Linked DNA regions of Saccharomyces cerevisiae S288C. The gene in region 1 interacts genetically with each later gene. Each region holds a gene or a part of one and is shown in the gene's direction. Other genes may lie near its edges. The genes, in order: DFG16, PTR2, FRA1 and HEM13.

Region 1 (3,998 bases):
GGGAAGACATGGCAGTGAGTGGGCCCTATGATTGCTGCTGCAGGGGACTTTTCAGGATAATCATGTAAACGATAAAACGGAAAAACAAAACTACGGACGTTGTTACCTTTCCATTTTGAAATGTTTCTCCGAAAAAATACCATTTTGCACAGTTCAACATTCTTGATGGCAAAAGCGAAGCATTGCGTCAACGGGTTAGATAAGTCATTTACTGTCAATTAGTACCAATACCTGTCTTTGCTCACCGAATGGCACTATACAGTGACGTTAAGATCTTGTAGTTGTTTTTCAAGAAGGCACTAAATAAGGTAATATATGGTGCCTTTCGCAATGACTCGTGTATCTGGCAGATCTATAGCTGCACACCTGATTTTTTTGCTATATTTGAATCAGGAGTAAGTTTGAACCATAATCATTCCAATTCAGTTTGATAGTACCTTTTTTTTAAAATTTTTGAAAGAGCTATCGCTTAGCTATCGGCGGGCATATTGAATTGCGCAGTAGATGAACATTTCACTAGTTGTGGCCAAAGAAGTTAGTTAAAAAGTGTAAATATGTCACAGTACTTATCCTTCTCTAAAGAATTAGTTTATTAAAAGCAGCAACAAGAAGAATGACTGTCAACCATTTTTAGGTCATTGCAACAAATCTCAAAATACGCTTTTATAGATAATCTAAGAAGATCGTTATATGGGAATACTAACAGTGAGAAAATGGAAGAAACGGGTTAGCGTAGAAAATTGTAATTAAAAAACAACAGTTTTAAGAAGGTGGTGGGCAATTAATACTTGAGGATTAATACTTAGAGCTTATTCAAAAAGAAAAGATAGAATTTCATGTAATACATGAGAACAATGTAAGGTTTTTAAGGTAACGAGTAACTAAGTTTTGAAATATCTTCACTAGCCTTGCAATCATCTTTTAGCTTTTCTATTTGCCGGATTCTTTACAACATAATCACGCTTTCTTCTAGTTGTAATTTTCCTTCTAGATGTCATTATTTCAACCGATGTCATTAATATCCTTTTATGGTGTTTACAAAAAGAAAGTTTCAAGTACCGCTCACCTACACTACGTTGTAATTCTTAGATACATAACTTTAGTTTTGTCGCCTATGTGCACAGATAAACAAAACAACCTATAAAATTTCCGTTGGGCCCTTTTGTCCCTGATTTCTGGTGTGTAACCCATTTATTTCTGTCCTGTAATAATTCGTCTTCGGTGATTGCCATATATACACAGTTTAGCTTTACTAACTATAAACATCCGAGAAGAAGAAAAAAGAAGGTCTGATTTCTATCAAACAACATGTGAAGATAACACAATCGATGTGATTGATATCAGATTTACTAGCCCCGTTGGATTGAAAAATCTGCAAGGAAGGGCTAAAGAGCAATATACTTTCTTTTGTTGTTTCGGGGTGATGAGAAAATTGTAACTTTTTTTTTTAACTTGGCGAGAAAATTGACTGGAAGAAGTGTCAAAGATAAGGCTTCTATCATATTCAAAACAAGTACCACCAAATGGCAGCTCAACTCCGAAGGCTCAAAAACAATACTTATTGATATTGCACTCACAAGCATTTTTTGTTGCGGAACGTCTTTACGTGCAAGATTAATGATCATAAGATTGCATTTTTACTACCTCCTCACTTTAGTTTACCATTTAGGACTTGTAGGTGCGTATGAAAAAGCAGCAAGAAAGAGAATTCAACCTCCCGATTTGATACCTGGTCCTCCGGGACATAAACTTGGTGATGAAAGACCACCGCATTACGACCACCGGCCACCTTATAAAAAACACATCGACAACATTCCAGCTTACAATCTGACTGATTTGATAGATGATAAACTACTAAATAAATATGAAAACTCATGCACGGTAAATGTATTGACAGGTGGCTTCATCTCTCTAGCAAGTAATTCGTGGCACTTACGTGCTTATAATTACACTTTAAATTACCCATCCTTTTTGATCCGATGCGATAATGGCAGTGCAAATCCTAATTTCTCTCATGTCTTACAAGACTTTGTTTATGACATCAACAACAAATTCAACGTTCAAGATGACAGTAGTAAATACATCGGAAAAGACCCATTTCCCTTAGGAATGATAATGATCACCTTTGCTTCTGGGTGTATCTGTGTGGCAACATGGATGCTATTTTTGGTTGTCTTATTACTGCCATCCGATAATCATAATAGAAGAAATAAAGTTGTACATGTTTACGTCCTTTTCTCTGCGATTATAAGAACTGTATTTCTAAACGAGACTATAGCCGTCATATTTGACAGCCAATATCACGATGACTACCAGGATGCGAGCCAATTTGAATCGTTCATCGTAGAAACTGCACCATATAAAATATGTGAATTAGTTGCAAATATTTTGAGTGATATAAACTGGATTTATATTGTTCACTACTTACAGTCCAATTATGGAAAACCAACTTGGAATTGGATCCCATTTAAAATGAAAAAGGGGACACATATCATAATTACCGTGGGTTGCTTCCTCTCACTAGCCGATAACATTTTATTCGCAAACCTTCTTTGGAGAAAGAACCTTGTAGTTTTGAAGGTATTTTACAAGCTAATCGAATTACTGATTTACACAATTTTCATCTCCATTATTTGTTACTTCACATGGCATAATTTTGCTTACATACTTTTACCGAAAACTGCTGAAATTAATACGGACGGTAAGTGTAAAACGAAATTGAGAATTCTTTGGGAAAATTATCACGAAACTATACCATTATTGGCGTATAATATTCTTATATTTATTTTATTCTATTTCACCACAATTTTTTTCGCTGCTTTCACCAAACATGTTAGAGGTTGGACATTTAACTTTGTTCATCTTTTGAAAGTTTTAATAACAGTGAACGTTTGGGGCTTAATTGGAGTATTGGAAAAGAGGGAGCTGCACATAAGCAAAAAAACAGTCCTTGGACGAAAAATTAACAATAGGGACAAATTTTTCGCCAATCCAACAGTCAATTATTACGGAGAAGATTTAGGCAAGCATTTAAGCGCCATAACGTTAAACAGGGATTTAAACACTACTAAAAGTAACACTACTTCCCACGATTCATCAAGTTTAGTAGGATCCCCTTCACCCACCTGGAAATCTCCAATCGAAAGAATAAGGGACAGAAGAAGAAGACATAAGATAATGAAAAGTGAGAATAAATTTGGGCAAAATCCCAGTTTTGGAAGTAAATCGAATGGCAAACCTAATACTAAAACGACATTATCCAAATATCGACAGCTATTAAGGAAGCCTAGGCGAAAAACCAATTCATATGAACCAAAAAATGGCATTGGACAGAATAAAGAAGGCTCAACTGTTAGACCAGGAGCCGACAAACATATTAGAGATTCCAATTATCTAGCTACAGACATCAGTGACAACGAAAGTATGGAAACCGAACTTCGAACCAACCACATTTATAATTACGAAAATAGTGATTAAGGCAGGCCCAGTGGACGAAAAGACATAACTGCAGAAGTACAGCTGCCTTTATTTCTTGTGGTCATTTATTGCTTTTATTTTCAAGTCAGATATACAAGAAAATCAAATCCCATCGTCAACGTCACGTATAAACGATTAATTTACAGTAATACCATACTCTACCAACATTATTTTAGTCCGACGTTCAGTCCTGTAGGTGTTCCAAATCCTTCTGGCATTGACTTCTGTGCAGAAACCCTTCAAAATGAGTTCCACTTTACGTCAGATCGCATAACAACCGGTCATATATTTTTTTCTTTTGCTAAACCCCCTACTGCAAGCACTTTTAAGAAAAAGAACAATAAATGCGTCTTTATTGCTGTGTGGAAGTGATTTTTGTCTTTCGGACAAAAAAAGGATAGGGATGCGAGAGGGCTGTGAAGTAGTGATCAAGCGGGGCCTATATAAGAAGGGCGCACATCGTCCCCCCTAAGAATAGCGAAGCGATATTACACTGAACACTACAATGTCAAATAGTACTC
Region 2 (4,108 bases), on another chromosome or scaffold:
AAAAAAATTGTATGCTCGAGCGATGGGAAGGTTTTTTCCTCTTCCCGTTCAAAGCTTCCTCGGACCAACTCCACTTTTTCTCGGCCCGTTGTAAAGAAATGGGTAAGAGAACTAAATTGCAATAAGCTTCGAATTATCGTTTTGATCCAGACATAAAGAGATGTACAAACTACAAAACAAGAGTAAAATAACTCGAACGAAGGGTACACCTTCTGTAATAAAACAAATTCACTATAACTGCCTTATTGGAGTGAAAAAACAAGATTATGTAGACCCCCTCTCGCGATAAAGAACATTAATGACTGCAACACCCGCACACCACAAGGTGAAGGGCAAAGGTGAATTAACCAAAGTGAAGAGGACGACGTAGAATCAACCAGGTATCCTTGATAAGGGGAGGAGTAAGAAAAAAGTGTGTCGAACGTAAATTTATGTGTCTAATGAAAGTATCTTCACACTAAGATTATAATTCTCCTTGGCAAAACAAAATGACACCTTTGTCCTGTTTTCGTTATCTACTTTTTTTTGTGTCAGATGTCATTTTGGTCTCCTACGCATCCACTACATCCTTGTCACAATTTGTTATCAGTAACCAACTTAGATGACTTGCACCAGCGCCACATCTTCGAAAGCGTTGAAACAAACTACGTAAACAAACAAAAAGTCAACATCCTGTAGATGTGGCTGCAAAACCACAGAATCCTCGTGTGGGAGAAAATATTGATAGGACCAGAGCGAACTTTTTTGATACAGACGTAGGAGGTAGCCGTTACCGCATTAGTATACTATATGCGTACGGCCGCCAAGAGCCCAAGAAAGAGACACAAAACTACGTGGGATAAGCTTGGGGTAACGCAATCAGTATTGTTCATTTTTTTTCCCGGAAAAGCTAAGAGTTTTCTGGCGAGATAAGATAACGGCGCCGAAGGCAGCGGCGAACTGACTTACCTCCGTCGGCTCCGGCGTACGGCACCAAAAAATCCCGCAATAACTTGACACCAATGGGCTAACGGCGTCCGCAGAACCGTGACGCAATCTGCGGTTTGTGTCAAGACAGAGAAGTGGGCTGCTTCTCCCCTTTCAACACTCCCCTCCCATGGCTGAATACTCAGACGTTTTCTGTGGTGGAAATGGCATCAAAAGTGCCACTGGCTGGCGAATCCAGACTATTTTGTGTCAAAGAAACATGCGTACCTGCACAATAAAAAGAAAAGGCCCGCCCTACTGACATCCTGTTCAGGATCCTCGAAGAACAGGAAAAAGGACAACCGTCCTTTTCACTTCACGTTCGCAGGGCTTTCCTCGATATAATGGCGATTACACAAGCGGTGGCGTCTTGAAAAAAGTTGGGTTTCTTATCTGTACGGCGATCACTCCCCTCATATGATAGCTGTGTAGAGTGACTTGCTCTTTGATTGGCCTTACTTCTTGCATCTATCATCCTTTCTTTTACTCTCTCCAATCACCACAACTCATATCATTCTACATTTCATTTTATTGTTCTGTACAATTTTTAGGTTTGTAAAATATATAAGTGATGTACATATCTTCTATATCCTTTCCGTTTGTGTCTATTTTAGGGTTGGCTTATTACGCATTATTCCTACTTTATTTTTACTTGCTTACTTGAAAAAGAAGGTATACCACAGTGCTGCTCCACTGCAAACAATATAAAATATTATCAATTATTTTTTTTTTTCTTCTTTTGAATTAGATCACTAATAAACTCTTATAATGCTCAACCATCCCAGCCAAGGCTCAGATGATGCTCAGGACGAAAAGCAAGGCGACTTCCCGGTCATCGAAGAGGAGAAGACCCAGGCTGTAACGCTGAAGGATTCGTATGTTAGCGACGACGTCGCCAACTCCACGGAACGCTACAACTTGTCCCCTTCTCCGGAGGACGAAGACTTCGAAGGCCCCACTGAAGAAGAAATGCAGACTTTAAGGCACGTTGGTGGTAAAATTCCTATGAGGTGTTGGTTAATTGCTATTGTAGAGCTTTCCGAGAGATTCTCCTACTACGGGCTTTCCGCACCATTCCAAAACTACATGGAATATGGACCTAATGACTCCCCAAAGGGTGTTCTGAGCTTGAACAGTCAGGGTGCCACTGGGTTGTCGTATTTTTTCCAGTTTTGGTGTTACGTTACACCAGTTTTCGGTGGTTACGTTGCGGACACCTTCTGGGGTAAATATAATACAATTTGTTGCGGTACCGCTATTTACATTGCCGGTATTTTCATTCTATTTATCACTTCGATTCCCTCCGTTGGTAACAGAGACAGTGCTATTGGTGGGTTCATTGCTGCCATTATTCTGATCGGTATTGCCACTGGTATGATTAAAGCTAACCTTTCCGTGTTGATTGCCGACCAGCTTCCTAAGCGGAAACCCTCCATCAAAGTTTTAAAATCGGGCGAAAGAGTCATTGTCGATTCAAATATTACTTTACAAAACGTTTTTATGTTCTTCTATTTCATGATCAATGTCGGTTCTCTATCATTAATGGCCACTACTGAATTGGAATATCATAAGGGGTTCTGGGCGGCCTATCTATTGCCCTTCTGCTTCTTTTGGATCGCTGTTGTCACTTTGATTTTTGGTAAAAAGCAATACATTCAAAGACCAATCGGAGATAAAGTCATCGCTAAAAGTTTTAAAGTTTGTTGGATTTTAACTAAGAATAAGTTCGACTTCAACGCTGCTAAACCTTCTGTTCATCCAGAAAAGAACTATCCATGGAATGACAAATTTGTTGATGAAATTAAGAGAGCTTTGGCGGCTTGTAAAGTCTTTATATTCTACCCAATTTATTGGACCCAATACGGTACCATGATTTCCAGTTTCATCACTCAGGCCAGTATGATGGAATTACATGGAATTCCCAACGATTTCTTACAAGCATTCGATTCCATTGCGTTGATCATTTTCATCCCAATTTTTGAAAAATTCGTATATCCTTTCATTAGAAGATACACTCCACTAAAACCAATTACAAAAATTTTCTTCGGTTTCATGTTTGGATCTTTTGCCATGACATGGGCTGCTGTTCTACAAAGTTTCGTTTACAAGGCTGGTCCATGGTATAATGAACCTCTGGGTCACAACACCCCAAATCATGTCCACGTTTGCTGGCAAATACCCGCATATGTCTTGATTTCTTTTTCAGAGATCTTTGCCTCTATCACTGGGTTGGAATACGCTTATTCCAAAGCCCCAGCTTCCATGAAATCGTTTATTATGTCCATTTTCTTATTGACTAACGCCTTTGGTTCTGCAATCGGTTGTGCATTGTCCCCAGTGACCGTTGATCCTAAATTTACATGGTTATTCACTGGTTTGGCTGTTGCCTGCTTTATTTCTGGTTGTTTGTTCTGGTTGTGCTTCAGGAAGTATAATGATACAGAGGAAGAAATGAACGCTATGGACTACGAAGAAGAAGACGAATTTGATCTCAATCCAATTTCCGCACCTAAAGCTAACGATATTGAAATATTAGAACCAATGGAAAGTCTAAGATCCACCACCAAATATTAGTGCGTTTAATTAACTTACTGTCTTTTTTTTTTTTTTTTTTTTAACCATATTACGTTGACGGGAGTTTTCTGTGCTGCTGTTATTTGTTTCACAGAACTCTCTCCTCTTCCATTGCTATCGAACAGATAAAATGGAATTTCTTTATGTATAATTACTATTGTATAATATTCAGTAAATCTAAATTTTAAGCTCATATATCTAAACACTACAACATGGAAGCAGCTTGTCCTCTTCAGGCTCACTGTATCCGTTTACTCTTATTTCGCGTATTTGCATACCATTATCTCAAATGACTTGTTATTATATCTTGATATATATTGTATTATAGAACAATTTGTGAAGAGAGGTCCATATTAAGATTTCCTCCCATTTACAAATAGAATAGAAAAGGAAATATATATGTAGTAAAAAAATCGTGATGTATACAAACTTTGGATTTGTGGAGATCGTAATAAATCGATTATTTCAACTTCTTCTTTGGACGCAATTGGTTGGTGTGACCACACTTTCTCTTTCTACAGTTGGTAGCTCTTGGTGGTAATCTGGCGTAACATTTACGACAAACAGA
Region 3 (4,418 bases), on another chromosome or scaffold:
TCAACAATAGGGAAGATGCATCCTTATCGCTTGCAAAAGAATCATACAATGATAATATATTATTATGATAGTTCAAGTTGTAATTAGAGTGGGATTCGTTTACAGGAATAGCGAAATCAAATCTCAAAGCGTCAATAACCAAAATCACCGCCTTGTTGAACCTAGGAGGTAACTTACTCGTTTCGTTTTGTGAGGAAATATTATCAAGAACGTGTCTTGACAGTAAGAATCCCCGAGTGAAAAAAGCTATTGATATGAATTGTAAAATGGCGATGAAAACCAATAGAATAATATAAAATTTATGATTCTTTTGAAATTTCTTTATTCGCGATTTGTATATTATTTTTTCATCATTGGAAGATGAAAGAATCGACTTTTTAATTGTCTTTTCATCCATATTACGGGAGCTTTTTTTTTCCACTTAATGTATTGATCTTCCTCCCGTTCTTTGACGATTCGGCGTTGCCCTTAAAACATATGCTTCTATTCCTTTTTTGATCTTACCCATTTATTTGTTTTTTTTTATTTTCCGGTGGACAACAAAATGTTAAAGGAAAAAAGAAAGTACCTTGCTCGTCATCGCGCTTGCATAATGTGCGCCATTACCCTGTAACAAAAACAAAAGATAGAGTGGCAACAACTTGACACAACTTTGCAATTGTACCATGAACCCCAACAAGAAAGGCGGTTGAGAGTAAATGATGTGGTTTGGTTCCTTTTTTTTCCTACATTTAAGGTTCATAGAGAAGAAAATTTTCTGAAATGTCTTTTCCTCTTTTAATGAATTGTAAAAAAGCCAGTATTGGAATAATATTCTATTCAATATAGTAAGAAAAGAGGCAATGGGCAGAAATCTTCTCCCGCATAATCCTTTAAATGCAAAATACATGTTAGGCGTCTAAATTTTTTTCAGTGAATCCAGATGCAGAAACATTTAAACAATAAATATCTTAAACCCATTTTGAAGCATCGGCGGCTAAAAAAATGATTTTGCATGGAAAAAAATGAGAGCTGTGAACCCAATAAAAAAGACAGCTTTTTAAAAATGTATAACGGTACATTAAGCTCTTGTTTATTCCTCAAACTGCTCCTAAAAACCATCCTCTCAAAAATAATAATGATAGCTGAAGATTATCTGCCACGAAATGCCATTGAGCCGCTTACTTGTAGGTTTTCATGAGTAATAACGAAGATAATTTACCCGTCTTTATAACCCACGTAAAAATAAACATATAATTATTTCTTATTATTTCAACTAACCGTTAAAGTGTTCAAATATGGTAGAAAGCTTTCCCTATGTGCATTATGATTATCTTTTAGCCGCCAGAGTTTAGTTTAATTTTGTTTTGTTTTTGACGACTTCTGGTGTTACCCGAAGGTATATCCCCGGGTGACCCCTAAAAATCGCACCCCATTTTCCCGAATTTTCTTCTACGTTTTCTTTTTTCAGAAATACTTCGAATGAGGGATGGAACAAGAAGGAAGCGACATACAAAAACTGAGTCAGTTTAGTCTTAATAGGTGCAATATTTACAAATACAGGAAAGGCAGGAAGCACTGGCAAAAAGACTGCATAGCTAAAAAAAAAAAGAATAAAAAAAAAACGGAGACCTCAACAGAGCGAAACCAATAATTACAAACAAAATCTTCATATGACTTCGAAACCATCCACCAGTGACGGCAGGGCTCACTCGATTTCCCATGTACCTGGCACGCACATGAGAGGAACATCGGCATCACACAGCCCCAGACCGTTTAGGCCATGTGCGGATTGTACGTGTTCTCCAGGCTTACTGTCTAGGCAAGGTCGTAGAGCCTCTCTATTTTTAAGACAGTTAGAAAATTCAAGGAGGTCCTCCAGCATGCTTCTCAACGAGTTGAAGGGCGCTGGCGGAGGTAGCAGTGCTGGAAATGGGTCTGTTTACTCATGTGACTCTCTATGCGCTGTTAACAGGGAAGTTAACACTACTGATAGATTGTTGAAGTTGCGTCAGGAGATGAAGAAACACGATTTGTGTTGTTATATTGTGCCCAGTTGTGACGAACATCAGTCCGAATATGTATCATTGCGAGATCAAAGGCGCGCCTTCATTTCAGGGTTTTCCGGATCGGCCGGTGTAGCCTGTATCACCAGAGACTTGTTAAATTTCAACGATGACCATCCGGATGGGAAATCCATTTTGAGTACTGATGGAAGATATTTCAATCAAGCTAGACAAGAACTAGATTATAATTGGACACTTTTGAGGCAAAACGAAGACCCAATCACTTGGCAAGAATGGTGTGTCAGAGAAGCTTTGGAAATGGCCAAGGGACTTGGCAATAAAGAGGGAATGGTGTTGAAGATAGGTATTGACCCAAAACTTATCACTTTCAACGACTATGTTTCTTTTAGAAAAATGATTGACACTAAATATGACGCAAAGGGTAAAGTGGAGCTGGTTCCCGTGGAGGAAAACTTAGTTGACAGTATTTGGCCTGATTTTGAAACTCTACCTGAAAGGCCTTGTAACGATTTACTACTGTTAAAATACGAGTTTCATGGTGAAGAATTCAAAGACAAGAAGGAAAAGTTACTGAAAAAGCTGAATGATAAGGCTTCCTCTGCGACGACCGGTAGGAATACTTTCATAGTAGTTGCGTTGGATGAAATTTGTTGGTTGTTGAACTTGCGTGGATCCGACATTGACTATAATCCAGTTTTTTTCTCCTACGTGGCTATTAACGAAGACGAAACCATTCTTTTCACCAATAACCCCTTCAATGATGACATATCGGAATATTTTAAGATAAACGGTATTGAAGTCAGACCTTACGAACAGATATGGGAACATTTAACAAAGATAACTTCGCAGGCTTCTTCTGCGGAGCATGAATTTTTGATTCCTGATAGTGCATCGTGGCAGATGGTTCGTTGTTTGAACACCTCAACCAACGCTAACGGTGCAATAGCTAAAAAAATGACTGCACAAAACTTTGCGATAATTCACTCACCCATCGATGTTTTGAAATCTATCAAGAATGACATCGAAATAAAAAACGCACACAAGGCGCAGGTCAAAGACGCAGTATGTTTAGTGCAGTATTTTGCATGGCTGGAGCAGCAATTAGTGGGGCGCGAGGCACTGATAGATGAATATCGTGCCGCAGAAAAATTGACCGAGATTAGGAAAACCCAAAGGAACTTCATGGGCAATTCCTTCGAAACAATATCCTCCACAGGTAGTAACGCCGCCATCATACATTATTCGCCGCCCGTAGAGAACTCTTCGATGATTGATCCTACCAAGATATATCTTTGCGACTCCGGTTCGCAATTCTTGGAGGGTACAACTGATATAACAAGAACAATTCACTTAACAAAGCCAACCAAAGAAGAAATGGATAATTACACACTGGTACTTAAAGGTGGCTTAGCCCTAGAGAGGTTGATTTTTCCCGAAAACACTCCCGGGTTTAATATCGACGCCATCGCTAGGCAGTTTTTATGGTCCCGCGGGTTAGATTACAAACATGGCACAGGCCATGGTATCGGATCATTTTTAAACGTTCACGAAGGACCCATGGGTGTCGGCTTTAGGCCACATCTGATGAATTTCCCCTTAAGAGCGGGTAACATAATAAGTAACGAACCAGGTTATTATAAGGATGGTGAGTATGGTATCAGGATTGAAAGCGACATGTTAATCAAGAAGGCCACTGAGAAGGGTAACTTCTTGAAATTCGAAAACATGACTGTGGTTCCCTATTGCAGGAAGTTGATCAATACTAAGTTACTAAACGAAGAAGAAAAAACACAGATTAACGAGTACCACGCAAGGGTATGGAGGACAATAGTGCATTTTCTGCAGCCTCAGAGTATTTCATACAAGTGGCTGAAAAGAGAAACAAGCCCACTATGACTTCGAGGCGAGCGGGGCGCAATACAATTAATGTTAGTATTTATTCTAAGTAGTTTCTTTCTTTTTATTTAATTTGAGTGATAACAATAACAACAATAATGACTAAAAGGTGAAAATTGAAAACATTACCTTCATTTTTTTACGGCCGGAGAGGGGTAGGTACACTTAACCCCGAGCGCTTTTAGTGCCAAAAAGAGTTAATGTGCGTAGTCGGATTTTAAACGACCATGCATGTACAGCCCCCTAGTGATTTATACTGATGCCTCATCAAGAAATTTTTTCATCCAGGGTCCCTGCTCGGCGAACCTTTCCGCAAGAGTCACAAAAATCAATCTTATAACCAGGCACCAGTAGTACTGCCAAGCTTGGACTACATAGCCAACGTAAAGACAAGGAGTCTGATTTAGTATTTCTTTTTTGCCAGCCAGTATTTTCTGCGCAGGATAGATTATTTTAAGAGCCGAGAATTCCTTATGCGGGCCCGGTCACAACGGATTATAGGTTCCGCCAGACCCC
Region 4 (3,399 bases), on another chromosome or scaffold:
ATATAACATAGATACGAGTTTTTATGTTCCTTTGGCAATAGCTTTTCGTGACTTGTTTTAAATACAAGGCATATAGGCGCAGCTTCACCAAGATATTCTGGCTTAAACCAGCACTATGTATATTTTGGTGTTTGATACCGATATCGGCAGCTCGAAGCGTTTTTATGAACTGTAAAAATATGTCCTACATAGTTGTTTGGTAATTTTTTGGTTTTTTAAGATTGTTTTATGAATAGGTGTTTTACCAGAAGGCTATCGCCAGGTAACTCTTTTAACTAAATCGAAAAGATTTATTTGACGTGTCATATTGTAAAAACTAAATGGAAGACAGAAACTAACTTTGTCGACACCTATTTTAAACAAGTATCAAACGCGGGCTATAATTTTTATGAGAGCAATCAATGCAATGGAGTCTATTTCCGGTTAAATGGCACGATTGTGCGTAAAAACACGAGAAAGTGGAAGCATCTTTTTCTTAATGACGGATAATTACCCGAAACAGTGCAACTGCAAGTGCATACTCTTGAAGGACTTACATATTGAGAGGGAACACATTACTACCTTTCAAGAACACTCGCATTTACGGCGTACATATGGTTCCGCGGTAGACCCTAGGTTGAATTGAAAACCATGTTTTGAAGGAAAGCAAAGGCAGAATGAGAACATGGAGATGTAAATATTTTCCCAGTTAGGCATGACCCAAAATCGCAATCCAGATGCAATTTATTATGACACGTAGACCTTTCCGTATCTAACGTAATAAACGATATCTATTTTCGAGGCGCTCGACATCTCGTATCTGGGACAGAAAGTGAGGTAGATTATTCAAGAATACCTATTAAGAAAGGTAGAAGGTATTGCACCGATTCCTAGTATCAATTCTTTTCAAAACCACTTATTTTGCAAAACATGCGTCTAACCTGCCATTTCAGCAACGTAAATAATAATTACTTCCATATATATTCTTCTCCCCCAGTAGCAATTTTGACATGACAAATTTCAGCGATAGTTGCTTCGGCATTCGAAAATCGTAGAAGTATGTCTTAATGTAGAAGGTTGAGAACAACCGGATCTTGCGGTCATTTTTCTTTTCGAGGAAAGTGCAAGTCTGCCACTTTCCAGAAGGCATAGCCTTGCCCTTTTGTTGATATTTCTCCCCACCGTAATTGTTGCATTCGCGATCTTTTCAACAATACATTTTATCATCAAGCCCGCAAATCCTCTGGAGTTTGTCCTCTCGTTCACTGTTGGGAAAAACAATACGCCTAATTCGTGATTAAGATTCTTCAAACCATTTCCTGCGGAGTTTTTACTGTGTGTTGAACGGTTCACAGCGTAAAAAAAAGTTACTATAGGCACGGTATTTTAATTTCAATTGTTTAGAAAGTGCCTTCACACCATTAGCCCCTGGGATTACCGTCATAGGCACTTTCTGCTGAGCTCCTGCGAGATTTCTGCGCTGAAAGAGTAAAAGAAATCTTTCACAGCGGCTCCGCGGGCCCTTCTACTTTTAAACGAGTCGCAGGAACAGAAGCCAAATTTCAAAGAACGCTACGCTTTCGCCTTTTCTGGTTCTCCCACCAATAACGCTCCAGCTTGAACAAAGCATAAGACTGCAACCAAAGCGCTGACGGACGATCCGAAGATAAAGCTTGCTTTGCCCATTGTTCTCGTTTCGAAAGGCTATATAAGGACACGGATTTTCCTTTTTTTTTCCACCTATTGTCTTTCTTTGTTAAGCTTTTATTCTCCGGGTTTTCTTTTTTTGAGCATATCAAAAGCTTTCTTTTCGCAAATCAAACATAGCAAACCGAACTCTTCGAACACAATTAAATACACATAAAGATGCCTGCCCCTCAAGATCCAAGGAATCTTCCAATTAGACAACAAATGGAAGCTCTTATCCGTCGCAAACAAGCTGAAATCACGCAAGGTTTGGAATCCATCGATACTGTTAAGTTCCACGCTGATACTTGGACCCGTGGTAACGATGGTGGTGGTGGTACCTCTATGGTTATCCAAGACGGTACAACTTTCGAAAAAGGTGGTGTTAATGTCTCCGTTGTTTATGGTCAATTGAGCCCAGCGGCCGTTTCAGCCATGAAAGCTGATCATAAGAATCTGCGTCTACCAGAAGATCCAAAGACTGGTTTGCCAGTTACCGACGGTGTCAAGTTCTTCGCTTGTGGTTTAAGTATGGTCATTCATCCCGTTAACCCACACGCTCCAACCACGCACTTAAACTACCGTTACTTCGAAACTTGGAACCAAGATGGGACCCCACAAACTTGGTGGTTTGGTGGTGGTGCTGATTTGACACCTTCTTACTTATACGAAGAAGACGGTCAATTATTCCACCAACTGCACAAGGATGCCTTGGACAAGCACGACACTGCTTTGTACCCACGTTTCAAGAAATGGTGTGATGAGTACTTCTACATTACCCACCGTAAGGAAACACGTGGTATTGGTGGTATATTCTTTGACGATTATGATGAACGTGACCCACAAGAAATATTGAAGATGGTTGAAGACTGTTTCGATGCTTTCTTGCCATCCTACTTGACTATCGTCAAGAGAAGAAAAGATATGCCATATACAAAGGAAGAACAACAATGGCAGGCCATTAGACGTGGTAGATACGTTGAATTCAACTTAATCTACGATAGAGGTACCCAATTCGGTTTGAGAACCCCAGGCTCTAGAGTTGAGTCAATTTTGATGAGTTTGCCTGAACATGCTTCATGGTTATACAACCACCACCCTGCTCCTGGTTCCAGAGAAGCTAAATTACTAGAAGTTACCACCAAACCAAGAGAGTGGGTTAAATAATTCAAGGTTCTTTAGCAGACCGATTTTATGATCTCAATGACAATGATGATTTAATTATTTCGACCACTTATTTATACATTTTTTTATCTATTTATTATACCTCCTTTACATAATTCTTCAAATTCAATTGATACAGGATCTCTATTCTTAAAAATATTAATTATTGCGTCCTATTTATGATGCAAGTTCACAGTACGTGCAGGATCAAAAATTATATCAGTATCTATTGCTCTAAAAATATGGCAGCAGCCTTCATTCTCAATATGCGATCATGCCTTCTAATCAAATTTTAAGATGTTTTTATTACTCTTTTTATTCTTAGAAAATTCATCTTATATTCAAGGACTTCTTAATTTTCCTTCCATCTATGACCACAGTTTACACACTTATAAAAGGTAGTCATCGGCTCATCAGCTGACCTAATTTGTAGTTGGAAAAAGTAAGCACTCTCACCACCACAAGTATCATAATTGGGACATTGGGTTTTGGTTTGATCCACATTGTCCCAACCACCACCAAGAACATCATCAACTTCCTTTCTTGGAAGTTTCTTCCTATCATAGATTT

The links.
Region 2: mutations in DFG16 (region 1) and PTR2 together harm fitness more than expected from each alone (negative genetic interaction), as found in Saccharomyces cerevisiae (2 studies listed by BioGRID).
Region 3: mutations in DFG16 (region 1) and FRA1 together harm fitness more than expected from each alone (negative genetic interaction), as found in Saccharomyces cerevisiae (2 studies listed by BioGRID).
Region 4: mutations in DFG16 (region 1) and HEM13 together harm fitness more than expected from each alone (negative genetic interaction), as found in Saccharomyces cerevisiae (2 studies listed by BioGRID).

The regions. Positions count from the first base shown.
Region 1 is NC_001147.6:385,208-389,205, forward strand, and holds DFG16 (Dfg16p), read left to right. Parts: upstream 1-1,617; coding exon 1,618-3,477; downstream 3,478-3,998. UniProt on the Saccharomyces cerevisiae protein: Involved in invasion during filamentous growth.
Region 2 is NC_001143.9:613,996-618,103, forward strand, and holds PTR2 (Ptr2p), read left to right. Parts: upstream 1-1,734; coding exon 1,735-3,540; downstream 3,541-4,108. Other genes in the region: ubiquitin-60S ribosomal protein eL40 RPL40B fusion protein, read right to left, coding at 4,001-4,108. UniProt on the Saccharomyces cerevisiae protein: Uptake of small peptides.
Region 3 is NC_001144.5:79,809-84,226, forward strand, and holds FRA1 (aminopeptidase P), read left to right. Parts: upstream 1-1,652; coding exon 1,653-3,902; downstream 3,903-4,418. Other genes in the region: mannose-ethanolamine phosphotransferase GPI13, read right to left, coding at 1-397; RRT7 (Rrt7p), read right to left, coding at 548-889. UniProt on the Saccharomyces cerevisiae protein: Involved in the regulation of the iron regulon in responss to decreased mitochondrial iron-sulfur cluster synthesis.
Region 4 is NC_001136.10:544,797-548,195, forward strand, and holds HEM13 (coproporphyrinogen oxidase), read left to right. Parts: upstream 1-1,845; coding exon 1,846-2,832; downstream 2,833-3,399. Other genes in the region: DNA-directed RNA polymerase III core subunit RPC11, read right to left, coding at 3,182-3,399.